Linked DNA regions of Neodiprion lecontei. The protein of the gene in region 2 purifies or fractionates together with the protein of the main gene of each other region. This does not show direct contact. Links are inferred from orthologs where the notes say so. Each region holds a gene or a part of one and is shown on either strand. Other genes may lie near its edges.

Region 1 (12,692 bases), on a different chromosome or scaffold from region 2:
TAGATACAAAAAAAAGTAACAGTGGTTCTAAAAAGTGAACAGCGAAGAACAAATTTGTTATTTTTCAAACAATTTATATTTTCAAATAATTCGAAATTCAAATTTCCCCGCGCCATGTCTTACATTTGTATTCGAGAAGCTTGTCTGTGTATCATCTACGTTGTTTGTGACTTAACAAAACGGCTGATCCCTCCCTCCCTCCCACCCTTCCTCACGCCCTCCGGTAAACTGTTGCGATTCTTGAGTGCCGTCTGCTTTGGCAATGACAATTGCGATCATAATCTTATAATACGGTTAGGTTCTCGTAATTTATATATAATGTTAAGGGTTTTTACTCACTGCTTACTTTCCTATGCAATAGAGCAAGCGCTGTCATTTTACACGTAAAAAATTATTGAGCACATCAATCTTCGATTACGTGCTTGTAACTTGATTAGATTATTTCATAAAACATTTATAACCTCTGGAGTCTGGATATTGGCCACGCGCAGCAATTGCACACAGCGCTTACGCCTTGGTTAACACGTTATGTAGACGGACTTTCTTGTAGGAAATATTCGTGGTTGTTAAAGTTTATAGGGACTCTACTGGATAAAAACGAAAGTAAACTTCCTGGTGGTATTTTTTATAAACAAAAATCTATTCTTAAAGCTCAATAATCTGTTATTCGGCTACTATTGGAGTTTACCGTACGACCCTTACTGCCATTAGCATATTTTTAAACTTTTAATATCCCTTACAAGATGAATTACTGCATTACTTCGCATCACCTGTAAAAGGATATACATTAAGCTAGAATGAAAATAGACCGTATTACTTGCTCTAGCACTTTTTATTAACGATTTGCCATGGATTATTTTATCATCAATTTTGTCAATATAAGTTTTATTTTTGAATCCTTATGTATAACATGAGATGTCTTTTATCGATGTGTTTACGTACGAGTTACAATGATAATTTTTTTCCTTCTCTCAACGCCATTATTAACGTAACAATATTATAATTCTCTTATAATCACATATGTTTTGCAGTATGCACTTCTTAAAATTTAATGGTATTTCACGCACCGTCGTATAAACGTGTGTACGTATAATATTCATCCTACATATTGTACCTATACGTGTATGACTGTTTTTATGTAGTAACTTAATATTTTTAAACGATTGAAAACGCCATTGATCGTATTAAGCGATGCAACAAGAAAAAATAATAATTCTACTTCTTTTTCTCTTCATATACCCAATTTTGCATTTGTCGAAAACATCTTAATATTATAGATACAACGTCCTTCTTCGCGAAAAAAACGATATTAATTGATATATACTTAATCTATCAACTTTTATCATATTATGTAATATGTAAGTATTGAGATGTAATCTCGTAGTAACGATTCGTGTACATATACATATACCTATACCTGTGTATCTGCATGTATATGTGTACATTTTGAGCCAATTTACTCGCTTATGTTAAATGTAGCGGCAACAGCCTTGAGGACAACATCGCAAAGAAAAAGAGTTAATTACGATTCACTTAACGATCATACTTTCCACCTTGGTAGATTGATAAAATTTTTTTATCAATCAAAGTAGCGAAGTCTTCAACAATTTCTGTGCCCCTACGTCACCATTGATATAAACTTATTATATTTACATTTGATATTTGAAACAGAAATATTACTATCTCAAAAGAAAATATTCACATGTAAGCGGTAATCAAACGTTGGTAAAAAATCATTAACCAAACACGATTTGAGATGTTATTCGTGATTACTTTTTTTCACCCAAAATGAAACAAAGAATGAAAAAGTAAAGAAAATTAAGGAAATTAATTTTTCCCCAAAGTGTTGGCAATGTAATGATAATATACGATACATCAGTATCATATTACAGAGATGATGTATCATGACTTTTGCATGTTGGTTAATAATTATATCATGGGTGCAACACATATAAAATACCCGCTATATGTGTATGTATGTATAATACGTTGAAAATTGCAGATAAAATATTTTACATACATACGGTCCACGTACATATTTAACAATAATAAATTAGCTTTAAACGGTCTGTAATTGGTATGAATCGTGTACAACAGAACGATGCAATATTTTTCTCTCGCAGTAGACGATTCAAAAATACATATACATGTAAGAATAAAACTCGAAAAATAATATAACACTAAATTGAGTTTCGGTAGTTGACGTTGTGTTACGCTCGTTTTGTAGTGGATATAATTCGACTGCGAGGCCAGTTTCAAAATAAATAGAAGAGAATTTTTCTATCATTGACAAAATAGGCCGTTGATATATCTTTTTTATTACGTATATACTATTCGACACCGTCACTCAGGGTTGATTTCGACGTACCTATCATTATTGATCTTTGATCAATTTTGGAAACTTGCGAAGGGTTCGATTAGTTGTGAGCACAAAAAAGAAATGTTTTTGTATAAACGATAAAACGTCGATATGACCCCGCAGTCGCGCGTGCTATAATGAATAAATGACACGACACGAGCTGCATGGCTTGCCAGAGAAATCTCGCTCAACTTTTCGTATAGTATTATATACAAGCTGCGAAATTAATTTGGCAAAAGGCTCGAGTACAAAGCCTTTCTGTGAGGAAATGGGCGTTCAGCTTAGAAAATCGATCCTTGGTCTCTTAAAGCCACTATCACTTATACATAACTTGCATAATTCACCCCAAGACTTGCGATATTTAAGCTGAAGGCCCACGTAGTGCTTACTTGCTTTCATATAAGGGTGGAAAGGTGGATATAGTCTACTTGCCCAAGAAAATTGAGCTTTAGTATTGTTATAGTTAATTTTAAATGTAATGGACAAAAGTTCGTTCGAGTTTTTTTTTTTTTTTATTTTTTAATTTTTTTTTTTTTTGCTTTTCTATTATAACAAACGCTTGTCAGTAACGCTGGCTCAATCATCAGTTAATATAATGCGACACATATGGAAAGATGTGCGCAATTAATTTTCCCATCTATTTAAAAAAAAAGCTTCATAATTGTAAAAGCTTGTTCATATTTTTTCAGACAAGTAGTTTAGACGTGGAGACGATAGAATTATAGAAGAAATAGTTGGTGAAATAGTATATAATTGCATATATAGTCTTGCAGTTTCATGCAGTGTAAAAGCATCTTCCATTTTCATTTTACTCAATTTCACGTTACACATTCACTGTACGACAACATAGAGAAAAGCAATTGTGAAATTCATATTCATACCTGGTACTTACCAAATGATGATAAAAATTTCTCAATAACAATGAAAATTAAAGTTACGGCGTGTGTTTCATTTCAACCTATTATCTCAAGTCAATTAAACCAGAACGAATTTTGGGTGTTTTGAATTGTTGGGTAAATCGAATTGTTTTTATAATAATCGTCATGGATTAATGATTAGGTCATAATGACCTGAATACTGTAAAACCACTGGCTCAAATAATGGTAGCACCATCAACTAAATGCTCAAAGGTGTTAGAGAACGTCATTTGAACCTATCGCATGCCGTTTATATGCATTGCAAAATGTATAGTAAAAATAACGAAGCATTTTCTCGTTTCGTCGAAGAAAAACTGTTCAGTTCTAATGTAAAAAATTAGGATTTAGGTGAGCATTTTAAACGCTACCCCGCAAAAATTAATATTACATGTGATATACGTACACATGCAGACTGACGGAAGTCTGTAGATTATGCCAAACGTTATTCAACTTAAGAAACGTCTCAATTGTACACTGTCATTCCCGCACATATTATCATAACATATTGCCAATATCACTATCTATTATTTTTATACTTCTATCTACGTGTTTTCTACTGGCAAAAATATTTCCAAAAATTATATACAGTACCGTTGCCACTTTTAATAGTTTTGACATCCTTCAATTATTATTCTATTTATCGTTAAAAATATTCATACTCACTTGATTATCATATTATTCCTATCTTGATTATTATCATTGTCAATATTTATTTAATATTCATTATTACTATTATCATTATTATTGATGCACATAATTGCGAAATCTGGAAATATTTTCGTCAATCGTGTATACCTATTATAATATGTGGTCATGCTCATAACTCGCGCGTGTAGTTACGCCTATTATTAGTATGCAGCATTTCATCTACTTGTGCTACATGTGAATGCTCGTTATTCGAGTAAAACATACCTACACCTACGTAGATTGGATTAAATTATGTAAAATGTTGTCTGATCGGTCTTTTGTATGTAGCTTTTAACTACGAAACGATTCTTTTTTCAGAGTATTTTTCGCTAATTATCTTGTTTATACGCTTTAGTCAATTTTTGTCTTTGCCTTATTTCACACGTATCAAAAGATATTCTATTTTCATTCTATGTCGAAAACTGACAGCAAGTTACTCAAGACCAATCGAGTATTTCATTCCACATTCTATTTTGCTACTCTAGTATCCTTATACAATTGTGTTAAAAATAATAGGATGCAAACCAAAATAAAAAGTCAATTCAGTACAGACACTACGTGTAATTTTACAATCATAGGCTGTCCATATGTATAGTCTGTAGATTGATGCTGTTTTTAGTAATCAAAGTCGAAATAGTTTTGTTGCTTTTTTGTAGAAGAGAAAATTATTACGTTAGCCTTGCAAACATCTTGCGAAATATCATGCTGCCCGGTTTTCTTGTTTATAGCAGAATGTGTGCCTCTGTGTAGTTATAAAATGAATATAAGACGAAAGAAGATAAACTAAGTTAAGGAATAACTAATTAAAAAATAAAAACTAACCCAAATAAGAATATAAAAATAAAAACAAAATCTACAAAGTCTATATAAAACTTGTGTAAAACCTTGACGAATACATCTTATGAAGGATAACTTGATCCATTATCGTTCCAGTTATTCATCGTTTCAATTGACGAACAAATTTTAATCCACGGCACATTGTATGCCGGGAAACGATTTGCAACGTGGAACTTGAAAAATTGTAATAGAAAGATCCAAGTTCACTACGGCGCATTTCTGCTGATTATTACAATTACCGCATACCTAGCAATATAGCATATCGAAGACTGATATGTCGAATTTGAATCTAAGACTAAAATTTTTTTTTATAATAATAATTTGAGGAAAAATTCTCTACATCTACATTTAAGGATTTCGTCGTATAAGATATGATCACTGTATGGTTCCTCGTGTAACGAATAGCCCTCATTCCGCTCAGTTATCAAACAATAATATGATTCGTCAGATTTTATATTCGCACGAACGATGAATGTGGTATGGAGTGCAATTGGTAAAACGACGGCCAATGCGTAGTGAAGACCGTCGTATTATACATTGTTTCAATTCAAATCTAATCTCGTATTGCATTAAAAGCTTCGTGACGTTTCATTCCGCATTTCATCTCATCTCATCTCTTCAATTAACGTTCACATACCTATATTCTCTAAAATTTCAAGCAAGCCCTTGCATTGGTTCTACAATTTCACTACAGGGCTCCGCGTTTGCTTTACTACTGGGTGAAGTTTCATGTGGTATAATATAAATAACGAGTAAGTAAACAAGTAAGGAAGTAAGGAAGGAAGTAAGTAAGTAAATAAGTATATATGAGTGTCACTATAGGTATATGGTTCATCATCACAGCGACCTAATAAGCAAGCCTGGAGCTGATCTTAGGATGGACAGTGTAACAACAGGTACGAGGATTGCATGGAGAATGGGTGACGGGAGGGAGGAGATCCCGACTCGATTGCACATATCCTCCTCACAGAAGCACATGTGACCAGTGCCGGTACTTTCCATCATGCACACGTGGTCCACCATAAACAAGTTTATCTGTAGTTGCGACGTACAGGTTCTCCTCACGCTTTCGTAAGCTGAAAACACAAGTGTCAAATGTTTCACGTGAAATTTTTGCACTCCGCGCAACCGTTTCTTCTTGCGTTATACCGGGAGAGTTTTCTGTGAAACTCAACGGTCAACGCCTGCCGATAGGCAACCGAAGTCACATTCCAATCACGTGCCTGCCCGCAAGGAATACGGAATGTAACTTTGGTTGCCTAACTGCTGGCGTCGAACGGTGAGTTTCACAGAAAACTCTCCCGGTGTATCGATGTGCACGGCGCATTTATCGTCATTTATTGTTAGACACATTTTATTTCTCGTTTAAACAATTATATTACTGCTGTATAATGCTCACGTGACTTGGCATTGCGGACCATCTTGACGCAGCATCCGTTGCACGTCATTAGAGGTGGTTGATCACGGGGCAGGGCGGTGTAATTAAAGGGATCCTTGCACCTAAGATCCGTCCACGAATCGCACTGGTAGCAGTAGACGGACCTTGCTGTTGACGTAAGTTCGAGGCAAGGGTTTTAACACGTATCAATGTTCTATGTCTCTCCGAAGAGGGAATATTCATTTTACCACAAGTATTTTCATATTCCATGCAACTAGTTTTTTTCAATTCTAAGAAACCTTAAACCAATCGTTGAAAAAATTTCTACCAACGTCACCGAATCTGCATTCTTACGAATCTTCATAAGTGTGAAAATGGACATGGAAATATTATTCTAATTATAAAAATTTGCGCAGCTATGCAATTTAACGATCACTTACTCTGACATTCTGCGTAACTGGCGTTGATGGTAGCGAGTAAAATAGCGGCTGAAAAATGCGAATGGTAAACCCTTTGAGAAGCGTTGACCCGGTTGTTTCTTCTCGAGATGAAATTCTAAATTTAAATGAGAATTGCGACCTTAACGCGAAAAAAAAAAAGAAACTCACCAGCTATCAGATAATCAGACCCCATTCTGCACGCGATTAATTACTGCACTTATCGATTGGTGTACTCATTTCATTCATCATGGTCCTTTGCGTAATTCTAAGTCTTAAAATGGACTATCGCACCATTGTAACACCATGATTCATGGCACTTTCTTTACGACTTACGTATATGGTAATAATTTTTTTATATTTTTTTTTTTTTTTTTGCATGCGATTCCGGTTTATAGTAATTGTATTGTTCCTCGAAATTATTAAATCTTTCAATTTGTGAACACGTTTCGTATTTTTTGGAGTGGATTATCGGAGCTATGCTTCCCACTCATTCATGCATCGGCGTTTTACCCTTCTTTGAGCACCTATATAAGGAAAATTGATGCGAAATGGCGGAAAAAATTTTGATTAACATACAGAGTAATTTCGAATAGGACAAACTGCGTCAAACTGCAGAACGGAAACAGAGAATTCTAACTGGATTACAAAGTAAATACACCAATTCTTCTTTATATTATTATATGTACCAGCTACGACACTGTGTTTTTTACTTTAAGACTATCTAGGCCACACCAAGTAATGCAATAATTCCAGAAAATGGTATTAGCGTAAATTAAGGCTTCCCTTGTTACGCAAAATCTTGTGATATGTATTACTCATAAGCAGTGGAATAATTTACGAATATTTATTTCTTATCATTATTGAATTGGTCAGCGTGACTATTTTAGTCCGTCTTCAACCCGAATCTGAATTAATGAAATCCTTAGCAGTTCGCTATTTCTTAATTTTTTCATTTCTCCCTATTAAATCAATATTTAATTCAATAATTGAATAGTTTTTGACGCATTGATCCACTCATTGCTAGTCGTAATAATCTCTAGATATAACATTTATAAATTAAGTCAAAAATATTAAGTCAAAATATAATACAAGTTCAATCAATTTTATTCATTCAATCAACATATATTTAAATTAGCTAATTACAAAGCGCGACAACGCGATTGCAGTATTTCACATTATCGGTAAGTCTCTCAAGGAATTGATTGTCACTCTGTGAAGGTAAACTAGAAAAAAGAAAAACCGGTATCAAACCCATATTAGTTCTGAATCAAGTTAAATCGCGCAGGCCAATTATACGCGAAATTGTTATTCGCTGATTCGATAAAGTATTTTCACAATTAAAAAATGACTATCCCTGTATTAGGATACAAAATAATTGCGCATGCTGAGATTCATTTTCTTCCAATTCCCACTGGGCTATCAAATATCAGGATTGGATATTGGTAATGAAATATTATTGAAAAATTATTGTCAATCGATGCGCTTGTATATACGTATGTACGCAACGGAGATATTTGAGGTATGAATATACATATTTATTTTAAAATGAATGGCACGTCACCCACATATTTGATCGGTATTATGTTTATTATATTTATTATTATTATTGTTGTTATTGTTATTGCGCATTGTTATTATCGTTTGAAAAAACCGCACACCGCATCACGACTTATGAAAATCGAGGAACGTAATGATTCACTTCGAAAATGCAGGTAAACGTCGAAAGGCAGGCATATCAAGGTTTGAAAGTAGAACTTGCGATGGCGGATCAATATATTCTACTGCAGCGGCACCGCGGAGGAAAGCTCAGATACTCTGCGTTACAAAGAAAGCTTCGCGCAAGCGTAAAATGGCTACGGGGTCCTGCGTCAAGTTTGAATATCGCATTGCTGTATACGTTATACACGTAATCACAATGCACAACGTAAGCGCAGTGGTAAATTTATGGAAAAAATCAGCATGCTTTATACATTTCATCGTTATTTTTATTTTTCCATAATTTTCAATTCATTTACATCAAGTACATATTTTTAACAAATAACCAGTATGATTATTGTAACTTGTTTGCAAATAGACAAAATATTCTTCTGACGATTTCTCCGCAAAAAGGTGTTGAAACAATTGAAGATCATTTTAACGAAATCATCAGTCACGATCAGAATTGTTATCGGATTCTTCGCAGTGTTATAACATTAAATAAACTTGACGGAAAAATAGTCAATTTTTAACATTGATAATGTTTGAAACATCCGTATAATCTGCGCTTTTCGAGCAATTGAATCTATACCTGCAAAATCAATCGATGGACCATTCAATTAATTACCATGTGTTATGAAACTTGGTATTGATTTTACAACAAGAATTTCCAAAACTGGACCACGATGATATAGCCAGGTTAATAGCTGATCAATTATTTGTTGTAATCAGCATGGTAACAGAACAATGGATATTTCATAACTAGGCTCCGTATTACTTATTCCTATTTCATGCCATGAAATCAACAAAACCAAAGAACAATCTTTCACTTGTAATGTAATTACTTACCGGTTAATCAAACGCTTTTCAATAACAATTTCCATCAGACTCGTATAAATCTTAAGCGAAATCTCCCCCACCTTAGATCACAGCTTTACTTGGTTATAATGTTTCTATGTTTTACTATCGCCACAGCTTGCGTACACCGTTGTGCCACATAGAAGTACGGTGGTAGCCGGAATACTGGGTTAAAATGATATTTATACGTACATTTTTTACCTTTTTATCGTGATTTTTTTTTCCTTCGCAATACCGAATCACCGTATGTATATAACTGTATATATATATTACATATATACTAATGACATTTTTCTGTACAGGTGTAACTCTGAAAAAATGGCTCATTGGGTTCGCTATCTTCACTTGCAGCAAGCTGTGCTGATGCTCTTTATTTCAAACGGATGCTTGCTGATTGGAGTCAAGAGCGGCGCATTGAAATACGGTACGAGAAAATTAATAACAAAGAAAAACCATTTCTCTACAAGCGAGTGTAACTTCTTTAAAAAAAATCCTACGACACAATATCGTAACTTCTCCATGATTGGCAAAAGATTATTACACGCAATGTGATTTTAAAGATTTTCTCATAACTTTGCGGTCTTCCAATCTATGATCCTTTTCATTAGTGGAATCCCGGCTCAACTGGGTGAAACAGATTTCGGATCATGGGGATCGTATGCGTCAATTTTCACCGCTCGTCGAACCATCTCCGGACCGATCCTTGGCTCGCCAATACCTGGTACCATCGAAATCGCAAACGCAGATGGAACCCCATACGCAAGACTCAGAAAAGACATCCAAGAAAACTCACGAACCTGAGTCCCGCTCTCTCGGTACACATTCTATCTTTGGCCGAATGTCACCGCATGACTTTGAACGGTATCGCTTAGATCAGTCACAGCGGCCGCGTGCCATGACCCAGCGGCTGAGTTCCCTCAATAGAAACGAGCAGAACCATTTCGAACGACAAACTGACACCCCTACGGAGCCTCCACCGGAAAAAATTGTTCCCCCGCTTTTCCCAGCACCTGTTCATCCCAAACCACCATTCTTCGTTCGCCGAATGCCAAGCGATGAATTCCGTGACGCCATCGACAGGAGACAATTGTTCGATCCCAATAATCCTGGAATTATCGGTAGGATGACAAATATATATATACGGTGAAGATAGTGGCGTCCATGTCTACAATCCCTAGTATCACACATAGCGACTTATTTCTTACTCATTACTAGCAGAAAGTGAAGTCAAAGGAGATATTTAAAGCCAATGTAGTCGACCATATCCCAAAGTACTGCTCACTTTAAGCTTTTGCATCTTTGTTAACAATTTCACGTTATTTGACTTTACTCAGACTTTAGATACTTAGTATCCGGATAAGTGTGAGACCATATGAATAGCATTCCACTTCCATGTGTAGAAACTATACCACACATAGTACACATACAACCACTTCTAAGAAAGAAAACATGTGATTAGATTCAATTTTTCCTACCGTTGTTCGTAGCGTTAACAGTGAGTGAATTATTCGCCTGCGTCTGCCACAAACATTCATGATCATTTTGAGATATTCGTTTCCAGACAACCCCGGAACCCGTCCACCACCGGAATCTCTGAAGGAATGGCTCAAGTATCCGTTGTCGGATGAGGAATATCACAAGCAAGTAGGCTTGATACCGGGTGGCATATTTCCGGCAGGTAAGTTGCAGCATCTGTATTGTGAAATATAAACTACGTGTCGTGGTGATCTTGTTCTATTCGGAAAATCGAAAAAAAGTATAAACCAGCAAGCGGTATATGAAAGTACTTCAAGCTCATTTCCTCTGACTAATTATTTTTTATTTCAGGCTCAAGTCGCTAGTACAATGGGCAAACCAGTATAAGAGCCACGGGAACCGGAAGTTATTAGTCTACGATTTGGGAGACGTATGGACTCTCATTATTTTTTCAAGTTCATCGTGCTAAGTATGAACGTATGAAACCGTTCAGATGATTAGGTTGTGGTCGGTGTAATGGTGCTACACCGAATGATATAATGAGAAAGAATTTTGTGGCTGCAGCGTTATTCTTGAAAAAATATAGAATGAAAAAAACATAAGCGAAAAACGTTTTGTCGCGTTGTATCATTCCTGATTTTGCTTTAATCTGACGGCCAATAATTGCACACGATTAACATGGTATGGAGAATAATTATTAATACAGGAAAAACTTGTGTATCTTGAGTTACAAATTAAATAGAATTGCCGGTATGAACACTCAGTATCGAGGTGAATAATATTAGTTTCAATTCCAGTACAACTAACGTCATTGAAGTGATGAATAATTTATAACAATTCTATTCTCCTGACAACTGGACCCTCAAACATGTTACAAATGGATTTTGACGGGACTCAGGTATGTTCTAGAGGTATTTGCCCTAAGTACCAGGCTAACGGGAATTTATTCACTACGGCTTAGTTTCCGCTTTTATTTTTCTTTTATACTTTACTTTTTCTCGTTCACGTATCCAATCTTAATAAATATCAATAACGAACATTGCATTATAAAGCTGCGGGGAAAAATATTGCCAGATCCCGAGATCACCGCGGGAGTTTGTCGGACAAACCGACAAATGGACATCCGGAAAGACATTTTTTTAAAAACCTGTTTGTCGGATTACTAGAGGTCCGAAAACGTAAAGATTCGTTGAAATTAGAAAGAGTGAATTTCGACCAAAACCAATACTTTCCTTACATCAACGAGGGTGATGGAAAGTGAAAACTAATGTCGTACGGAAGTCGTCGTAGTGAATGTAATTGGAGTTGAAGAAAAATCTGACAAGTCTCAAAATATCAAAGTTTCACTAATTCACTACACAACAATGAGAAAAAAAAATGTCAGGCTTTGCAAAGCGATTAACAAAATAGTAAATAATTGTACCTTGTTTATATACTGTCAATATTATTATGTACAACTAGAAAAAAAATCCGGTAAGCACATATATTCTTCCGATTATAGTAGTTTTCGATATTTTCTAGTTGAAAGAGAAATGTTCGTGCCATTTTTAATAATAGCAGGTTTACTTATCGATTGGGGAAATATTCGTCTGATCAAATTTGGAAATGATTTTAATTTGATAGGTATCTGCGAAATTTTAAACTATACTATATGTCGTATATTTGTTATACAGAGAAAACTTTAACCCCGTACCATTTACACTCGAAATTTTCAAACTGTTCCCGCTGGAATTTTGACCTGCCCCACCATCTACCTTCAATTGAGGGTTCAAACTTTGTATTCAAACAGATAGGCAAGATCAGTCGTGCGTCAGCTGCGAATTAGAGCAGTTCAAAGTGAGCTTGGGGTCAATCTGTCACCTGTGTGTAACTTATAGTGGTTTGAGTGAAAATTGGAGCAAATTTTTTTTCAACACTTCTACGTGGACTTTCTTTTCTTTCATTGTGAGTAACATTTTGTGCATGAAAATATTTTTTTTCACCGCAATAATCACTGTAAACGCATGTCTATTAGATGTCTTACTATCCCCGGAGTAAACAAATAT
Region 2 (10,802 bases):
TCAACCAACTTATTGAAAAACAAAAATACACATTCGTTTGAAGTTTAAATAAATTTCTCAAAATTTATACAGTTTTCAAATAAACGGAAAAGTCATGAATATTTATTCCACATCTTGGTTAAATGAAAAAATTGCACCAGTTGCCTAAACACCTGAAAGAAGATCGTTTACCATTTCGAGTCTTGTGCAAAAATAATGGGTATAAAATGCAACAGTTTTAGTACTTCGTTCAAATTTTGAAATTAAGATTTTCTTCGCGGCATTCGGCACTTTTCAAATATGTAGCAGTAGAAATTAACTGATTCCAACTTATAAGTATTTATACCACTGAAAACAATCAAAGCATATACACCGACTATTTAGTGACTTTTCACTAGTTTTTTTTAATGATTATCAAAGTACATGCACTGATTTTTATCCAGTGATATACTTATTGTATCTGCAAATCGGTAAATTTTCAATAATTCAAATCTAGAAAACAGTTATTGCTCGTACGCGATTTCTCAGATAAATATTAAGAAATAATTTCGGTGTCTCTAATTTCTTATTGCATCCAGGCAAAAGTACACATATTGATATTACAAGTATCTAATTATTCGATAAAAATTAGTCTATTCCATTTCAATATAGACCAATACGGAGCCAATGTTTGATCACAATTTGATTTGAAATAAATTGATGCATCATCAAAGCCTAACTACCAAAAAATTCCCAAGAACGCTTAAAATGTATTATTCTTAGTTCCCGTTATTTTTTCTGGCGCAATTATTCATGTGGACACTGAATTAATATTCAAATTCAGCGCTTCTTTGAGAGACTTTTGAATAAGGGTGAATTTTTCTTAAAGTAAATAATCAATAGATATGTAACAACAAGAGAAGATAACTGAAAGAAGGAACTAGACGTATTGTGGTAATGTGCTGGACAGAAAAGTACTTCTGAAATTGAGTTGAAGAAGTATTTTACCGAACTACAATGCAATGCACCGAGCAATGAAAAAGAATAACTCTCCCTTTAATTTCATCCCTTTGAGGAAACACATATTTTATTGCACAACGTGCTAGTGTTTGATATTGAAAATTGAGATCTTTTTCAACTGGATTCCCTTTCAGTGTTTCCAAATATTTTACATAGCTAGCGACGACTATAAAGCTGTCAAATTTTTACGTCGAAACTTTTACCTGGCGTGAGCTAGGAAAAAATTGATAATCTGCAGGGATGAGGCGGTATTTGTGGCTCGGCCTAGTCTGGCCTGTACTTACTTTTCTCGCCTCACCTTGCCTTGTCTAACCTTGTCTAACCTAGCCAAGCCTAGGCAAGAGGTTAACCAATCGTTAATCTTGTTAGACAACCTCCAGCGAATCTATACTTTACCTGCCACATTTCTTATCCAATAAACTAATGAAAGATCTTGGTCAGATTATGTTACAATTTTTATACCAAGAATTTTTCAACCCATATCCGCGTAGCTTACTGGATGAGTAACTCAGTGTTCTAGTAAATTTTAACGAGTCGATAAACTTCAAGATTTCATTTCAATAACAAGAAAACGCCAGAATTATATGGGAATTCCCTTGATAGAATCAAAATACGTTTCACTCGGTCATCCGATATATGAATATTTGAAATGAGTCGAGTGGTGAAAAACGAAAAAAAAAAATAAAAAATAACATGCAGTAACGACCAGCCAAACGAAATTGGGGGAATTAGGTCAACTACGAAAGCTTCCTTCTCATCTTCTCCCTACGCTACCCTTTATTCCGTGAATTAGTCTGTGATCAGGGATAGCAAAAAAAGTAGATCGATGCTCGAACGCTAAGGATTAAATACACTTCTCGTATCACAAGAAATTTTCCCTGGAACAATATTGTGAAGTCGCGTCTACGTTACCGAAAATTTGTAGTTTCAGCTGAAATATTTCTGTAATATTTTTCAAAGATGGAAGAAAAAAGCATTGCAAATATCACTGTAGTATCCTGACTATCCTCGTCTGACAGCAAAATTCGTTTTGAAATTTTCGGACAGTTGATCTGTCCAACAATTTTTGATCAAGATATTGTTATATGAGAAAGATATGGAAGAAATGGATGGTCTAGAATGAAGAGTGCTGATTGTGAGAGAAACGGTGAGCGTTGGCAGCTGTGATTCAAGAGAATGTGGGAGGAAAAAAGAACGACAAATCATGCGCAATTTGTCGTGTTTTACATATTCTTGTAAAGGATATGATGCGTGTAGACGAACGAGTCGGTAAACTGAAAATAAAATTCACTCTGTTTTTTAAAACAATAAATCAATAGAAATTCCAGCAAGCCCAATTGGGATTAATTCGAGGATTTGGAAAAAAGATTGAACTATGTTCTGCAACCTTAAACGTTAAGGTACCGACTGACCCATTCAGGAAACCACCATCTGTGGCTATCTCAGTCGGAAAAAGGAGGAAAAAATTATTCAGTGCAAGGTAAACTAGAATTCTTTGCTTGGATAGAAAGAACTTTTCCCACTGCTCGCGATGTTCCTTGCCAGTTGCTTAATGCGAAACAGAATTTGCAGTACGTGCAATATTACTGCTGATACAGCTAAGGGTTTTCTGAATTCTTGTGAATACAGAAACTACATTTTTGTGTACCCTACCAGAAAGCCTCTCTTCTTTGTTTCTCTGCGTTTGATATCTCAACCCAACCAAAGAGCATCGCAGCCCAAGGTATTCAGAAATTCGTTGAACTCGTGCTTGAATAAAAATTACCAAACTGATGGTACAATTTACGTAAAGTACCGCACCTCAAAAAATGAATATCTTTGATCAACAATGCGAAAAAAGAATCCTGTGGCAGCAGAAAGATGCAGTTCAAAGAAATCGGTAGGTATTAGGTAAGTGTACCAGTTATTGACACGCTGAGACCCAATTATTGACCCTTTTATTTTCCAAGATTATAAATTTACGGCACAAATTGTGAATTCCTCGATAACTAAAACCAATTGCTAGAGAGTTATACAGTAGAAATTTATTTTTTGATAATTTTAGAAGTAAGCATCGAACAGATACAACCAAAAAGGGTCAATAATTGGGACAGGCTCAATAACTGGTACACTTACCTTATAAGAGAAAATTATAATTCCTTGGCCGGATGTGCGGTAGAGAAATATTTTGCTCCTGGAAAAATTGATCTTTCCTCAAAATCTTAGTCACAGCCAGTCGTCGACTATACCAATCGAATTGGTTCCAAAGATATAGCGACCGACGCAGACCGTATGCGGGATAATCTATGGCGTTTTCTACCCCCGCACAGTAGGTTAGCATCGATTTCCCGCCTCCCCACTCTTCCGCTCTTCCACCCCCCAGCCCCTCGTCCCATTGGTATCTAGGCAAGCCGGCGTGCTTTCCACCCCTTCGCCCACGGTTACAACCGTCCGCCCGAATCGGTCCTGCAGCCAGAATGCGTCAGCGAGCGGATTTCTTAGTAATTCGGCTTTACTGCACCGTGGCGCCATCCGGCGGAGGGTTGACGAACAATCTGCCGAGTCGTCGAAGCTTTTTGTTAGGGAAAGCTTTGCTGCAACGGCATGGGCAGAGAGCTTTAACAATCAGGCAGCTGTGTTACCAACTTGGGAACGGTGGCTGAAGGATGGAGGGATGCTTAAGAGCTTGAGCTTGTCGACTCTAGAGGGTAAGATGTGTTGGCGCTGAAGAAAGTTATACGTGTACCGATAGCACGAGAGCGAAGATGGGTTAAGCACGTTTTAAAGGGCATGCTCTTCCTCCACCCGGAGTGCGCAAGCTTTTACTCGCCTCTCCTTAGCTCTGTTTTGTCATCTATTTTACTTTTCCTTCTTCTCGAAGAATTTTCACTGCAGTCTTTTCACTGGCTGAACGGGATTCAACCGTTGAAGTGAAAAGTGATAAGTACTATCGATGAGTCGTCGAACCGTCGTTTTCTTATATTATTTCGAATACCTAAAATATTCGTATTTTACACTTCAACGGCGGGGAAAAATTTCACCCTCTTTGCTCGTTTTACATTATATAAAGAGGGATGATTATAGACCCGACCAGTTTATATAACTACCTTTCTACACGAAGTGTCGACTGCGTATTAGAAGCTGAATTTTTGCCGTCCGATCAATGGTGTGAATATTACTCGGCACAAGATTAGTTGGGTATTATAAAATAACAACTTGTAATACGTTCCGTGGCCACGTGGAAACGGACGAAAGAGAAGTTCTATGGAATCACTATGTATATTTAGAAGACCCTGAATATTAATCGATGCATTTCAGTTCTTGACTAACATTTCTGACCCAGTGCTTCGTCGTAAGATTTTCAAAAACTCCGATATATATCTATTTAAATCCGTATCACGTATCTCCGTGCATTTAAAAAGTTTCGATTATCTTCAAAAGCTACAGAGCTACCAAAAATGATCCGACGTTATACTTGTTCAAGGTCGTTTCTTTCTCAGAAGCTTAATAAACCTATGTCGAAAAATTGAGTATAATATCGAACAACATTCATTCCAGCACAAAATCGCGAACCGACTTATCTACAAGGTCACGCTGAGTTGTAACAATTATCAAAGACCAAATTATGACTTGTGAAAGAATCACAAAGCAGATTCCGAGTTGATGTCTTAATATTTTCAAATATGTATTCGGTCGCGATGCACGTCAGGGTGCAAAAAAGAATGGTTTAAAAAGGGGATTGTTCGATTGTTTGCAAAACATTTCGTATCCTTCCTTGAATCGATACCTTGAAGTAATCTCAATCAGCGCTCCAGAAACTTGTTCGCTCTCGTCGTCAGTGTTTCGGCGTCAAGTTCAGTCGAGTACAATCATGAGGTACCACTCGACAGCCTGTTCGAAAGATCAAGGGCTCGTGGTTGCGGAGGCCTTGATGGGTGAGTTAAGCTGTACGCTACAGAATAACGTTCGTGGTGTGAATGAAAGGGAGTAAGCTCGTCGACACAGCTACTCAAGGCAAGAGGTAAAGGTGACTAACAATGAAGTAGCAGAGTATCTATAAGAAGGTGGAGCTAATTGTGAGACTTCTTTGAGACGTTTTAACTACTGTATCACCGTTTCTTTCGTCGTTGAAACGGTTTCCCGGCTCCGTGCCCCGGGAACAGCATCCAGATAAAGAACAACCCGATGATCCAATCCAGCATCTCGATGAGTGACCGTTGAAGCTTCGCCAACGGGAGCTGCCAAGCAAGTTTATGCATCATGTCAATTTCGACAACCACTGGCTGCTGCTGTTTGTACGTCAACTACCCCTCGGGCCGCCATTAATCACACCGTAACGGTAATTCACCATCGTCTTGACATTTGACACTGGAATTAGCCGCGCTTAGCTCAGCAGCTCCCATGGCTACGCTGTTCAACCCAAGCCCCGAGATCTAGGGACATGCGAACTAGTCCTGGAAATTACCAGCCGTTCTGCACTCGGGCTGAACTGGCGGTCAAGTCTCTCCGATGGTAGATCGTCCAGTCACGGCTGAAGGCCAATGATATTTAGCACAATTTTCTCCCAAGTCACATATACCGATCTACGTACATGTGTATACATATTCTCTACTACAGAAACTGTTTCGCATGACAGTATTAGGTACAATTTGTTATCAAACTTTCCACAAGTTCCTCCGTTGGATGACTTTTATCGAGAGCTTCACTCTGCACAGAAACTTCCCGACAACAGAGCTTGAAAGTTTCTACACGGTAAACGGGGATACGTTACCAGTTGAAAAATTTTCTCTAGCGCGACGGTACAAGGCACTGTGGGTATACACGACTAAACGAGGTATCGTCATGAACAAAGAGAATCAATGGAGAAGACGGCCCCGAGGATTGGTTGTACGTACATGAGAATATACATATAACAAGTTTAGGATCACTGAAACGATTCGTATGTAAAATTATTGGAAACAAATTATAGAGACAGATGCTTGAGCATGAACACGGCGTCCGGTAAAAAATCTGTAACAACTTTAAGGACATTTCCAGGACATTTTCAGATTATTCAAGCACATTAAAAACAGAATATTTTCAGAACACAAGATAAATTCAAGGACATTTCCAGGACCAGTGTGCACCATAATGAAAGAATATTGATTCAAATAGTACAAATCGTCGAAATGATCCTTGACAAGTATATATACTTTGAAGAAGAATAAATTGCACAGTCGACAACAAATGATAACAATGTGTTATAGTTTCGTGTCAACACTCACATGAGAATGCAGCCAATGATGAGAACGGTAAGGAGAATCGTGTACGGTATGCAAACGTCGCATACGCCGAAAAGCTTCAAAGCTACATTAGCACATATGAGAAAAAGCACAAAATCCAAAAAGGAACCTCCCTCAACACCCATATCATCCGGTCATTTTCGATTATCACATCCGAACTCCTCCTCTAATGCGGACGTACGGTGTATAATCCAATGTCCACAACACACTGAACCCAAAATGAGCTACCGTCCCCCAGCCAAGCCCACGAACCACTGATCAGTCTTTGCCTGAACACATGTCGTCACACACGTATGTACCTATAATGTAACGTCGTTTAACGTGTATGTCCAGTGCCGTACCGATTAGCAGCCGACAAAATTTCTACCGTCACTGTTTACCCAATCACCTGGATCGTGAAATATCCGTCACTTTGTATCCCCGTTGGCAAATTTGAAGAAGCGAGTGAAGTGCAATGTTTAAACGGCAGATGAGCACGTTATCAGTCACTTGGTACCGAACTATTCATCCCAAATCTCCGTTTTTTCCTTCTTCTTCTTCTTGTCGAACTTTGAAATTACTTGGAATTCTTTCGAAACTTACGCATTTTCAAACAAAGCAAGGGTGAAGCTTCTTGAACTGAACGCGAAGAGTTTTCAGACATTTTTGTAAGTCATGGATTTTACGCGGCGTGTCGTTAGCAAAACTAACATGCAAACCACTGCCGGTTCTGAGCGCAAAGTAAATCAGATTTAGAAGGCCAGGGAAACATGAAACGGCGAAAACAGCCCTGCGAGGTGAAACACTGCGTATGTTTATCACACAGGAATACTTCAAAGGTTTCCTAAACCCCACGACTGTGCAACAAGGGACGACAAGCATTGCTTAAGAAGGGGTTGGCATTGGCTAGATTGTGGTAGGTTGAGTTGGACTAGGTCTTGAGGTTGGAGTTGCTCACCTCGTGTAGGAGTGTATAATTATGCAACTTCAATCAGACACGCCGTGCTCGATATTGATAGTGTGAAATCTGCGATGGCATGTTCGGAACGAAGGGAATTTTTATTTTTCGTCACTCTGACTGACGTATCGTGAGAAGCTGAGCAGTCACCATAACTTGTTGCAGTGCAATCTTTGGATCGATATGTGTTACGGATAATTCAATTGAACTAGTCTATGAACTAAAATGTTTTGATGTCGATACTGGTGAAATTTTGACGCAGGATTGCAAAATTCGTTTTGGATTTTCGACGTCAAATGTCGAGTAGAGATGAGAGAGAGAGCATGTCAAATTGGATTAAGTTAGCTCGAAAGTTTAGTTCAATTTGTTCTCAAGCAGCCACCTTGTTACTCGCTTAACGTGATATCGGTGAAAAGCATGAAGGTATAGTTTCTATCCCGAGTCCTCTTTTCATCCTCGCCCTCCAGTTATACACTGATTGTAACCAACTCCAGCTATTTCAACTTTGTGCCAAGGCAATAAAGTTGCCAAGTTAGATTATTGGTGTCGACGAACAACGATGAATCAGTAGATAACGGTGATAAATGAAAGCGGTTGGTGATATTAATTTCCATTCAAGGTGATAGCGTATGCCGATAAATAGTGTCTGGATAGTTTGCCGACAGAATATCATCCGCGCGACAATGAGCTTAACGAGCTTAAAATTCACGTTCTCAGAGTCACAAAAATGCGACTCGCGTTTTTTAGGTCAAACATAGTAAACGAGAGTGTTTTTCTACTTTGAAAAAATACTATGACAAATCCAGACCAATTAATCCCAATCAGCATCACTCTGTGAAGGGTTACATTTTGATATTAGTCAAGTGACAGGTGCGCATGATTTTTCTGATTGAAATGTTCAATGCGTTAGTCTGGCTCATTTTATTCATAAATAAAGACTACATACTATGAATATACTTCATTAATTCAACAGAATAATTGAGCTTTTGTGAAAGAGTGACTATAAATGAGACATCCTTCTTTGTTCATTTAATTAATTGGCCCTCAGACACCACCCCAAGTACCTAACAAATAAGGTGCACTGGTAAAATATTGATTCAACCATCGCTGATTTTTAGGCATTGCGATAATTTTTTATGTTTCCGTTGCTAACGTGTCTGCAAAGTTGCGTCGTAACCAGATCGCGTTTTTGAGAGAAGCTATACAAAATAACTGTCGTGTTACCCGAAACACGTGCGTATGTATATAATGCCACAGCTTATTTAATGTAGTTGTACGGTATACTTGAGACATCAATTATATTTTGCATATGCCGCAGGTCTGGAAAATGGTCTCACTCAATTTTCTCAATAATTTTCCCAATTACATTGGAAGAAATGAGTATGGTAAAAATCTGTCCTCTATCTTCACTGAAAGTCAAGATTAGCCGTGAAAAATGTCATCGTGACTGCAAATATGGTCAAAACTATTATATTTTTGGTAAGTTTAACCATAAATCCAGATTGCGGTACTACAAACGTTACATGATATTTTTCTCTCAGTGTATTCGATGTCAAAAGGTATTATGTAGTACAAGCACAACTAATGACGAATGCAGACAAAAGTTTCACCTTCGAAAATAAGCCTTAGTTACTAAGTTGCATGCAAATGTAATTCATGATCGATATCAGCTGGTCCGGACTGAACCTGTTACGTCGCTAACATCGCAGATGTACACAAATAACAAATAATAAACACGTCGTACTAAAGGCAAACAAAGAAACAACACCACCACAAGATCCATTCATCATGAAAAATTCACCACTACCAGAGATTAAAACAGAAATTCATATTTTCTCTTTACCTCGTACAACACACCAGAAGTCACGCACACTTCCAATGGCGTTTTTACCTCCCAATAAAACCGACCATGTTTTTGCCTCCAGCTAATACTAACGATTGTACAAAATTGATATTCCAAATCCTCTACCAGGTCATTTAACATAGAGGAATCCAGTGTGGTCAAAGTTGGAGCACTATTCAGCAGAAAACTCGTCAACCACTCAATTTGTAGATCTTTTGGAAGTATTGTGACGCATTCACGCTTTTACAAGTGTTCGAGACACACCTTGATCATTGTTTAGTACTGATTCGCTGTACCGTATTAATCGACAGTGACAGCTGGTGGTGCTGATCATAGCATGAGTAGGTACGGTGTGAATATTTATGTAAATAATACTACAAATGTATCCTTGAATGATTATTCACGGTTACCAAAGTGTTTCGAAGTGTTTGACGGTAACTCTTTTAAAAAAATCTTGATATACCTTACAATATTCCCTTGTTCGCAATCACATCGCCTAGCTGTAACTTATTCTCCTTTCCTTTCTAGAAGGCTTTGGCGGTGTAAGAAGACGCCCAGGGAGACCATGTGAAATCGATAGTGACTCTCTACCTCTCACAGCAACCCCTTGCCGCACCGATCCAGCCTCTTAATTACTCTGATGGCAGCTACTGATACGATTAATTCTAGCGATAAGAAGGAAACCTGCTGACTGGACTCGTTACCTCAAGATTCTACCGCTGATCCGGACGCCAACTAAGATTCTCTATTCACCTAGCGAGATCATGGAGATAAATTGTTACTCTTAGTACCCAAGTATGCAATTCTCACGTCTTCGATACGAAAATGCTCCTACTTAACACTTTACGAAACAATCGGTGTCTTGAAACGTTTATTTTCATTGCGACTACCATAATTGCGAAGTCCATGATAATGACAAATTATGCTTCGGAATGTGATTCACATTGGCGTGCGACACGGAGAAAATGAAATCCAAGAGATGAGTGGATTTTATTTGAATATTTGAGCAGTTGTTTGAATTCGTGGCTGGGCATATTTAGTCAAGTAATAAATGTTCTTTATACAAAATTAATTACGCGTATTTTTGGTCAACAAGGATTTCGAAGAGCAAAGATGATCATTCTTGTACTTTTCTGACCGGCTTTCGTGTTTGAATTCGATTTCAATATGTTTCGATGTTTTCTTTAAAGCATAGGACATTGATGTTAAGCATCCCGAAAAGGGCTCAGAGATCTAAATACTTCAGAATGGTCCGAAAAATGATAAAGTTTTATCATATTCTTTAGCAATTTAACATCGATCATCGATCAGATCACAGAAACCTGTACTACATTTGCGTTTTCGAAACAATTACAAAGCGTGACTTCGTGTCATCTGACCTGTTTTATTTTTCCGAAAGCTACAATTACTTAACGAACTATCAGTCTACAGAACGTGAAAACTAGACTCGTATAAGGCAGTTGTGTAGTTATAAAAAAACTAGGTCACCGAGCATTTGACATTGAGTATACACCTGTGCCTATACTCATAAAAAGTTCTTGCCCCGAAGTAGACAAACATTATTTTGAAACGTTGTCGGATGAAAATCATTTCTCCGACTACGGCCTAATTCGTATTATCCAAAATACTCACCGAACCGCAAGTGAGGTGTGTGAAATTATGGAAATAAGCACCCCTCAGAATTTAAGTATTACTCCTGAGCAATATCGGTGCACCACAAATCATGTCGAACAAAACCGGTGAACCTCTTCGGCAAAGGTAAGAATAACTCACGTAATCGATG

What was found.
Region 1: the proteins of potassium voltage-gated channel protein Shaker (region 2) and protein quiver purify together in Drosophila melanogaster (affinity purification with western blotting, with the first as the bait; 3 studies listed by BioGRID). This does not show direct contact. The link is inferred for Neodiprion lecontei from reciprocal best matches to the Drosophila melanogaster genes Sh and qvr.

What each region holds. Positions count from the first base shown.
Region 1 is NC_060261.1:30,870,944-30,883,635, reverse strand, and holds protein quiver, read right to left. Parts: upstream 8,408-12,692; 5' UTR 8,184-8,407; exon of another isoform or gene 7,143-8,183; 5' UTR 6,812-7,142; coding exon 6,787-6,811; intron 6,667-6,786; coding exon 6,619-6,666; intron 6,347-6,618; coding exon 6,200-6,346; intron 5,877-6,199; coding exon 5,638-5,876; 3' UTR 814-5,637; downstream 1-813. Other genes in the region: NAD kinase 2, mitochondrial, read right to left, coding at 340-376; uncharacterized protein LOC107218843, read left to right, coding at 9,490-9,595, 9,780-10,289, 10,733-10,849, 10,999-11,012.
Region 2 is NC_060266.1:6,595,543-6,606,344, forward strand, and holds the start of potassium voltage-gated channel protein Shaker, read right to left. Parts: upstream 6,476-10,802; 5' UTR 6,285-6,475; coding exon 6,222-6,284; intron 5,196-6,221; coding exon 5,071-5,195; intron 1-5,070.